Linked DNA regions of Cricetulus griseus. The protein of the gene in region 1 binds, or shares a complex with, the protein of each later gene. Links are inferred from orthologs where the notes say so. Each region holds a gene or a part of one and is shown on either strand. Other genes may lie near its edges.

What was found.
Region 2: Lrrc23 (region 1) and Dydc1 share a complex: the UniProt entries of both Homo sapiens proteins name them as parts of the axonemal radial spoke complex. The link is inferred for Cricetulus griseus from reciprocal best matches to the Homo sapiens genes LRRC23 and DYDC1.

Annotation. Positions count from the first base shown.
Region 1 is NC_048601.1:21,627,228-21,631,500, reverse strand, and holds the start of Lrrc23 (leucine-rich repeat-containing protein 23), read right to left. Parts: upstream 2,892-4,273; 5' UTR 2,856-2,891; coding exon 2,730-2,855; intron 2,647-2,729; coding exon 2,537-2,646; intron 2,118-2,536; coding exon 1,864-2,117; intron 1-1,863. UniProt on the Homo sapiens protein: Essential for sperm motility and male fertility. Plays an important role in the proper assembly of the third radial spoke (RS3) head and the bridge structure between RS2 and RS3 in the sperm flagella.
Region 2 is NW_023276807.1:179,045,016-179,049,449, forward strand, and holds the start of Dydc1 (DPY30 domain-containing protein 1), read right to left. Parts: upstream 3,058-4,434; coding exon 2,911-3,057; intron 2,466-2,910; coding exon 2,364-2,465; intron 1-2,363. UniProt on the Homo sapiens protein: Functions as part of axonemal radial spoke complexes that play an important part in the motility of sperm and cilia. Plays a crucial role during acrosome biogenesis.

The DNA.
Region 1 (4,273 bases):
TCTGTGCTGGACCTAGTGGTTCAGTCCTACAGTTCCACTTACCTAAGAACCTGAAGTGGCAGACTCATAAATCTAAGGCCTTCCTGGGCTACTATGGGGTGAGTGAGTTCAAGGCAAACTTGGGAAACTTATGAGACCCTATCTCAAAATTAAAAGTAAGTCGAGGCTGGAGAGATGGTTCAGTGACTCAAACTACTGACTGCTCTTCCAGAGGTTCTGAGTTCCATTCCTAGCAACCAAATAATGACTTACAACTATTTATAACAGGATCCAATGCTGTCTTCTGGAGTGTAGGTGTACATGCAGACAAAGCACTCATACATAAAATGCATAAATAAACCTTTAAAAATCTTACTAAATAATAATATTAAAAGGTTATAATTGAGTGGGCCAGTGGTGGCACACACCTTTAGTCCCAGCACTCGGGAGGCAGAGGCAGGTGGATCTCTGTGAGTTCGAGACCAGCCTGGTCTACAAGAGCTAGTTCCAGGACAGCTTCCAAAGCCACAGAGAAACCCTGCCTCGAAAAACAAAAACAAGTTGTAATTGAACTGGGGATATGGTTTAGTGGGAGAGTGCTTGCCTGGCATGCACAAGGCCCTAGTTCAATCCTTTGTAACACACACACACACACACACACACACACACAGAGAGAGAGAGAGAGAGAGAGAGAGAGAGAGAGAGAGAGAGAGAGATTGTTACCTGTGCCTTTCACAATGGCATTTCCCCCAATCTATTTTTCAATAGAATTTATATCCTTTTTGAGTTATGTTTTTCTGTTTTATTTTTTTAGACAGGGTCCCACTCTGTAGGCCAAACTGACCGGTAACTCCCTATGAAGCCCAGACTGGCCTTGAACTCTAGCAATCTTGCTTTGGCCTCCAGCATGTAGGAATTAGAGTTGCCAGCCACCAAGCCTGGCTTATAATTACTTATTATGATCATTGTTAATTGTCCATCACCCTAAACCAGAATGGACTCTACATAAGAATAGAGATTTTTGGTTTTGCTCATTGCTGTATCTCTAGCATGAAGAATTGGCATAAAAATAAGGAGAGGCTGGAGAGACGGTTCAGTGGTTAAGAGCACTGGTTGGTCTTCCAGAGGACCTGGGTTCAGTTCCCAGCAACCAGATCAGGCAGATCACAGGAGACCTGACACTTTCTTCAGGTTTCTGAAGACACCTGTACATATTCATACCCATGTAATTAAAAATAAAATTAAAAAATAATATTGTAGTGAACTATAATAAGTCCAGTCCTCATATAAGTATAGGCAAGGCTTTTTTTTTTTTTTTTTTTTTTTTTTTTTTTTTTTTTTTTTGGTTTTTCGAGACAGGGTTTCTCTGTATTGCTTTGGAGGTTGTCCTGGAACTCTCTCTGTAGACCAGGCTGGCCTGGAACTCACAGAGATCCACCTGCCTCTGCCCCCTGAGTGCTGGGATTAAAGGTGTGAGCCACCAACAGCCAGCATAGGCAAGGCATTAATACTGAATTATATCCCCAGTACTGCGCATATCCTAACAAATAAATGAATGAATCCATAGATAGCTATGTGGCTCAGCCAGGAGTCCTATACTGTGGTGATATTTTAGACAAAAAAAAGAGGAAATGTGGTGATATTCTGTTTATGATCTAACAAATAAAGCTTGCCCAAAGATCACAGAAGCAGAGCAGCCAGCCACTAGAGAGTTCTCACCTCTACCAATGCTCAGATCAAAGGGGCGTTCCTGTCCTCAGACTGCATCTGTCTCCACCAAACCCCAGGCTACACTGAGCTCCTGTCTCCTCCCACCATACTGCCTACTTCTGTCAGCCCCATGCTCAGAAGGAAAGTTCTGTGTATCTCTTCCCAAGGACCCACCTTTGAGATCCAGGCTTCCTAGACGGGGATGAAAGATGCCTTCAGTGTCCGTGATCTGGTTGTAGGAAAAACTGGCAATCTGCAGGTAGGGCAGTTCGTTCAGCCGAGCACTCCGAAACTGGTTCCCATCAGCCTTGAGCCACAGGAGGTGGGTGAGAGAGTTGAGCGGCGACAGGTCTGTAAGGTGATTCTCAGAAATGTCCACATAGCGAAGGTGAATGTAGGAGCGCAACAGGTAGATGTCTGTGAGGTCCCTAGGAGACAGCAAGGGGCGGCGCCACCAGAAAGGATAAGAACCCAGCAAGATCTGGAAAAGGTGCTCTCCAGAGGGCAACAGAGACAGCTTATCAACGGGATGACGGAGTGGGAGGGGGGAAAAGGAGGCAGGTGGAGTTTTGTTCTTGTTTTTCAGTGCAGAGATGAAAACCAGGGCCTTGTACAATGCTAGACAAACCCTCATTGCGGAGTCTCTGCCTAGCTTGGAGACATAGCTTAGTGTGTGTGGTGGGGAATGCTTGTCTAGCATGTACAAGGAGCAACAAGATCATGGACACTGAGGGCATCTTTTCATCCTTCTCTTCCCATGAGATCAGATCGGAGAGACAAGCTCTGGTCAAAACATTCAGGAACGAGAGAAGGGAGGCTCGTGGTGCTCCAGTTTCTCCGTCCTCACCTGTCTTTAACCTCCAGCTTAATATAAGCGTGAGCCAGTCCATTGCCAGTCTTGCAGAGTAAAGACAGCCCTTCCTTCATCATGGCCTCCGTGAGGGGTGTGGGCATCCACTGCAAGAGGCGGGCAGTAAAGGCGTCACTTTACAACTCCCCTCGAGCCCCAGAGCCCCAGGGCCCCTCCTCCAGGCTCTCACTTCCTCGGAAACTTCCTCCCCCTCCTTTTTGTAGTCATCCCACTCCTCCGTCTCCTTGTCATCATCCTCTTTTTCCAGGTCATCCTGGTCTGGCTCAATGTCATCCAGATCATCTTCATCCGACATCTTTCTCCCCTCTGCCCTCTTGAGTCAGATGAAATTCAGTCCTGGTGCTGAGAAAGGAGACGTTAAGTTCCCACGCCACCAAATCCTCCTGTACAGCCTCGTGACTGCTGACCCCCGGCCTGTGCATCGTCCCTCGTCCCGGAGAACATCTCTGGACTCCCAACCTCTGCTTGGAGGACCCCACTCCCTACAGGACACCTTCCCATACCCCTGGCCCTTTCCTGCCTTCACAGTGGCTCCAACTCTGTCCCAGCAACCCAGTGTCCCTGCTTCCTGAATTCCCTCTGATAGAGTTCTACACGTCTTCCTAAAATCTCCCCACCTACACCTCACCTCCAGGTTCCCTTCCACCCCCAACCCCTGCTCCACTCATTGCTTCTGATGCGATAGATCGCTCTGTTTAACACCATTGCGCAGACGCACAGTCTCCAACCCAATTCGCCTTTGGAGGGAGGCGCAGACCCTGGTTCTCTTCCTCTAGAGTAGTTATGGAGAGGATCTTGGTGCTGAGAGGCCAGGACTGCTTTTTGGAAGACGCATCGGGGGCGGAGTGGGGGTGGGGTACTCCGGGCTGTATACTGTTGTTATGGCAACGGGGCGGGGACGCTTGGCTTTGCAGCCAGCTACCGTTAAGAACTCAGAGTAACCCAACCGTAAAGCACAAACCCCAACGCCCCCTACAGTCACCTTCGGCGGGTAGTTCAGTGGTTGCCAAGTTACGAGGCCAAATTCCCAATCCCACGAACCTGGAGGAGGCAAGAAGAGTGTCACGCGGTTAATTGTCCGAGGACATAAAACAATGGTCCACTTATAACAGCCTTGCAGAAAAGTGGGAGGGAGGCGGGGCTGGCCATTATGTCCTTAAAGGGACCAGATGTCCGGCGCAAAGGTATTGTGCTTTAAGACTATCCATCCCTAAGAAGCAAAGGGGGTTTGTTTGGTTGAGTGGTGAGTGGGATCTATCGCTGCTCAGGTTCGGCTCATTGGTTATTTTCTGGTAGGCCTTGGAAGGTGGGTGGCCTGACTGAACAGAAGCTCAGGCTTAAGACAGGCTTGTAGGTACCGGAGAGATGGCTCAGCAGTGTCTGCCCTTTGAGGGTTCTCAGCACCCACGTCATTCCCACACCATCTGTAACGCCTTCTCCGGGGAGATCTGATGCCCTCTTCTGATTTCCAAGTGCACCAGGCACTCACGTGGTGCACAGACATATATGCAGGCAAATGCTCATACACATACAATAATAAATCTAAAAAAATAAAATTAAAGGCCCAGCTTGGAGTTTCGGCAGATTCACAGCTTGCTAGCATTTGCGTATGAATCTGTAGAATAAACTATCCTTAACAATTGGTGGGAGTCTACTGATTCCTCTGGGGTTTTGCTGTTGCTCTGTTTTGTTTTGTTTTGTTTTGTTTTGTTT
Region 2 (4,434 bases), on another chromosome or scaffold:
CTGCAGAATTTCTTCGTAAAAATTAAAACAAGCTTGCAAAAAATATTAAGCATCTAAGGAATTCATTTGTTCTCAAGGCAAGGAATGATATTTGCCAGCGTGAGTTAATTTAAATAGTGTTGATTTACATGCTCAAAGAAATGTGTCACCCTGCAAAATTTGTTTGTTTGTTTTGTTTTGTTTTATTCTTAAACTATTAGTAAGAAAGCTGGATGTCAGGTCTCAAACCTGGGACAATTGCTAACATATCAAAGTGGACCTGGCCACTACATTATCCTAGTATTCCTCAGTCCCTAACTGTTACAGGGTATGGCTGACATAGCCCACTTCCTAAACTTTTCCAGCCCAGGGGTTGGGGTGCCCTTTCCCCAGATGCCCTTGTCTATATAACCCAGACATATTGGTTACCAAACCCTTTTTGTTTACTCTCTACTCTCCCGGCTCTCCCCTTGTCCCTCTCCTCATGTGACCCAGCTCAGGATCATGTTCACTCTGGACTCTGATGTACCTGCCTCTGGCTATACTCTCCCCGTAAACTTTCTCCTCCACCATACCTAGGAGCAGTCATGTCTCTTTTATTTTTGTTTGTTTTTGTGTTTGTTTGTTTTTAGTCACTGATCAATTTGTTGACACTAGGAACAATATCAGCTGTCAACTAAAAACAAGTCAAATGCTTTTGAGCATTTTCTCTCAGCTTTTGTTGAGTTTTGTTTGCTTACTCTATTTAATTTTTGACAGTCTCACTATGTAACCTAGGCTAGGCCAGAACTTAAGATCTCCTCCCTCTGCCTTCCCAGAACAGGGATTGTAAGTGTGTACCACCTGCCCAGCTTTTTCTCTGGCTTTTGTTTAGGAGAGGATGCTGCAAAGGTGTCCATGAATTACTCTTGGAAACCCATCAGTGCTGAGTTGTAAATGACCTCGAGGAAGAAGCCAAATCCTCAGCCTCCAACTCAAACACTTCAGGGAGCAAGAGAAAAAGAATGATCTGCTACTTCTCATCTCAACACACTCCCTGTTAAGCCCTTTTCTGTTGGTTCAGCTCTCCTTCTCTTATCTACTTCTGCCCACCCATCCACTTCTTTAACTAACCATAACATCTCTTGTAGAATGTCATCCTACATTCCACACCCCCTGCAAATGAAATGCTTTGGGTTCAACATGCAGAAGATTAGCTTTGCTGGCTAACACAGCTATGAAAATGTTGAATTTCTAGTGTAACTAAAATTTTATTCCAGTAGAATGAAGTAGACGCATCAAAGGCTGTGAAGTATATCCCCATAGTGAACTCATTGTCTTGGGAAAGAAGAACAGCTGAGACTCCCTGCTTCTCTTCAGTAGAGACAGATCTAGCTGTAGAGGAGGACAGGTCCAAGTGGGCAGCACTACTACAGATGCTTGGCCTCCAAATACTACATCATACTTGTTTCAGAAATGCTTAAGACTGTAGTAAGATGACTCAGGTAAGGTACCCAAGACAACATGAAATTCAGTTATATTTTATCTTCTAACTGAAAGTAATCAAATACCACATTTTATCATTTTGCTATGTGAAACAAAGTTTAACGATGTGTAATTTTCCATTCCTTGACACCATGTAAGCACGCAAAAAGTTACATATTTAGAAATATTTCTTGTTTTGGGTTTCTTTTTTTTTTAGGTCAGGGATGTACAACCTACCCTTCCATCCTCCTAAGGTATTATTTCAGACCTTCATCATTCTTTCCATCCCTCCTACCTCATCACTTGATTCTTAAGTATATGGTCCTGGTTGATTCTTACCTCATAAAGTCACACCAAGTCAGCTTTCAACTTTGTGTCACAAGCCAATACACCCACCTACACCTAGCCACCTATGCTTTGTCTCTGAGCTGCAATAACAGAAAGGTTCATCCACTTGTTTTCCAGGCCCATTGCCTCTTTTTACAGTGGATAGAAGGTTTTAGATGGTTTTTTCGATTTTTCTATTACGTGTTCCATGTGTTCCTGAATCAAAATAAAACCCATTTCCCTTCCCCTCACAAACCCCGTTAAAGCATAATGCTCACTCACCATCCCCCTTCTTACCCTCTACACCTCACACTCACCACTGTTCCTGGAGAGACTGCCTGGGCTATAAATGAGCACCAGCTCAGCAGTGGTGCTGTTGACTATTCTCTGAATTGTTCTGTTTCCTCGTGGCACTGTCTCTTCACAAAAAAAAAAAAAAAAAAAAAAAAAAAAAAAAAAAAAAAAAAAAAAAGGATGGGGATACTAGGGAGCAATGTCTGAATGACCAGAGCCTGGGAGTATTTCCAGATGTGGGTTGTAGCACACCAAGGGTGACACTGTTAACTTCCATCATATTTGAGTGCTTGTCTTACCTGCTGAAATAAGAGTTCCTCAGCTTTGAGTCGCTCCAGCATTTCCTGCTCCATCAGTGCTAATTCTCTCTCATGCTCCAACTCAATCATCTCTTTCTGTCTCTAGCAATTGGTAAAAAGCAACAGCACACAACTTATTAGAGACCAATCTGTTAACACAGTCTCAGAGGCATCTCAACCACCAGCAATAAAAGAAGGGCTAAGAACATAATGCTCTATTCATTTGGAAACTATACAACAATTTGGGGGATTTTTATGATTTAGCCAAACAAAGAACACACAATTAAGATTATACATCAAATATAAAGAAAAATGAAACCAATCTACAGACAAACATGTCAGGAAAAGACACTACTGGGTTGAAAATACTTAAAATCAAAACAGAAGCCTTCTTTCTGTTTTCTCTCCTCTCTGCATTCACATACTGTCCAAAGTTTTCATATAATAAACATTATTGTAATGGAAAAACAATATTGAACATAAAATGTAAACAAGATGAACCAATTATCATGCTCTTCTAATTTCCTGAAAGGAGATCCATATTTACCAATTGCTCCATGATCACATTTTGCTTGTACTTATAAATCCACAAGGCTAAATATTCTATTGGATCCAATGGGCGGACTCTTGCCACTTCAGCGAGACCTTGAGTCAGGCATGTCCCCAGGCACTTTTGAAGATATGATGACTCCATTTTTAATTCCTAAATAAAATGATCTATAAAAGTTTTTCATTAGAGCCAAAAGTGTTCTGAATAGGCAGAGTTAAAAGTAAAGTCAAGCTAAGCAGTGGTGGAATTCATCTATAATCCCTGAACTATGGAGGCAAGTAGGGGCAGGCAGATCTCTGAACTTAAGGCCACCTTGGTCTATAGAGAGAGTTCTTGGTCTACAGAGAGAGTTCCAGGTCTACAGAGAGTACCCAGAGAAACCCTGTCCATATATATATATATATGGCTACCGGAACATTCCACTCTGTCACTAGTCATGGGTATTTCTTATTAAGGATGAAATAAGCAGGCTGGCCCAAGGAAACTCCAAATGGTCTACAAAAGGTCTCTGCAGAAGTCATAGTGAAAATAGCTACTACATCCTGACAGTTCTTGTTTAGTCCCAGGGTCAGAAATGGGCACTAGTGTTATTCATCACATTGTGCCAAGTAATGCTGGTGCCAGTTAATGCCCACAACATCTCAGGCAATGGTCAGACAGGGAAGCAAACTCAAAGAGCTTTAGTGAACAGTCCAGAGCACTTGACTGGCATGTGAATGTATGGTTTGTACCCACTGCCTGACCTCAGAACCTTAAGTCTATTGACTCTAAGATGCTTCTGCTATGTACTTCCATAAAACATCACAAACTGTCCATCTCTTCTGAAAAATCATGTATTGTCAAAGCCAGAGAATACAAATTCAGATTCCAATAAACAGCATGCAATTACTCATAATCTAGCCATAAACTTTAGGCTTACCTCAAGCACCTGCCTGTCATCATCCACCCTAGGCCCTTACTCTACCAAATATTCTGCCATTCTACACAACACACCCTGCACTTTTCCAACTCCACGATCCTCCCTCTATTGTTGGAACATGGCTCCTCACCTTCAAGGTACAGACCAGCTCTAGCTCTAAGAGTTTTTTCAACCAGTACAAGAAGGTTCCTCCTGCTTCAAGTAGTTCATACAGCCTTCATCATGCTGCCTGAGATGAGAGAGAGAGAGAGAGAGAACATGCATGCATGTAGGCATACCATGCACCTATGCTTGTCTTTCTTCTAGAAGACAGACCCCTCTAGGTTCCCAAGGAGTATTTTGGTCACAGGGCTAACAGCACTGAGCAAGTTTGTGCCCACTCCCAGCTGTTTCCCAGTCTTTTCAGATATGAACATTGTTGCATGGCTCCTTCTGGGTTGACTATTTCTATTTACCCCAGAAGGATAAAAGACTGAACATATGATTCTACTCAAGCTCAGAATTGTAACCCAGTGTATTTATTGGGATTGCCCACAGAAGCTACGGTAAGAATATATGTTCCAGTGAGAAGTTTACTAATATTGCTTTGTTAAACGTATGTA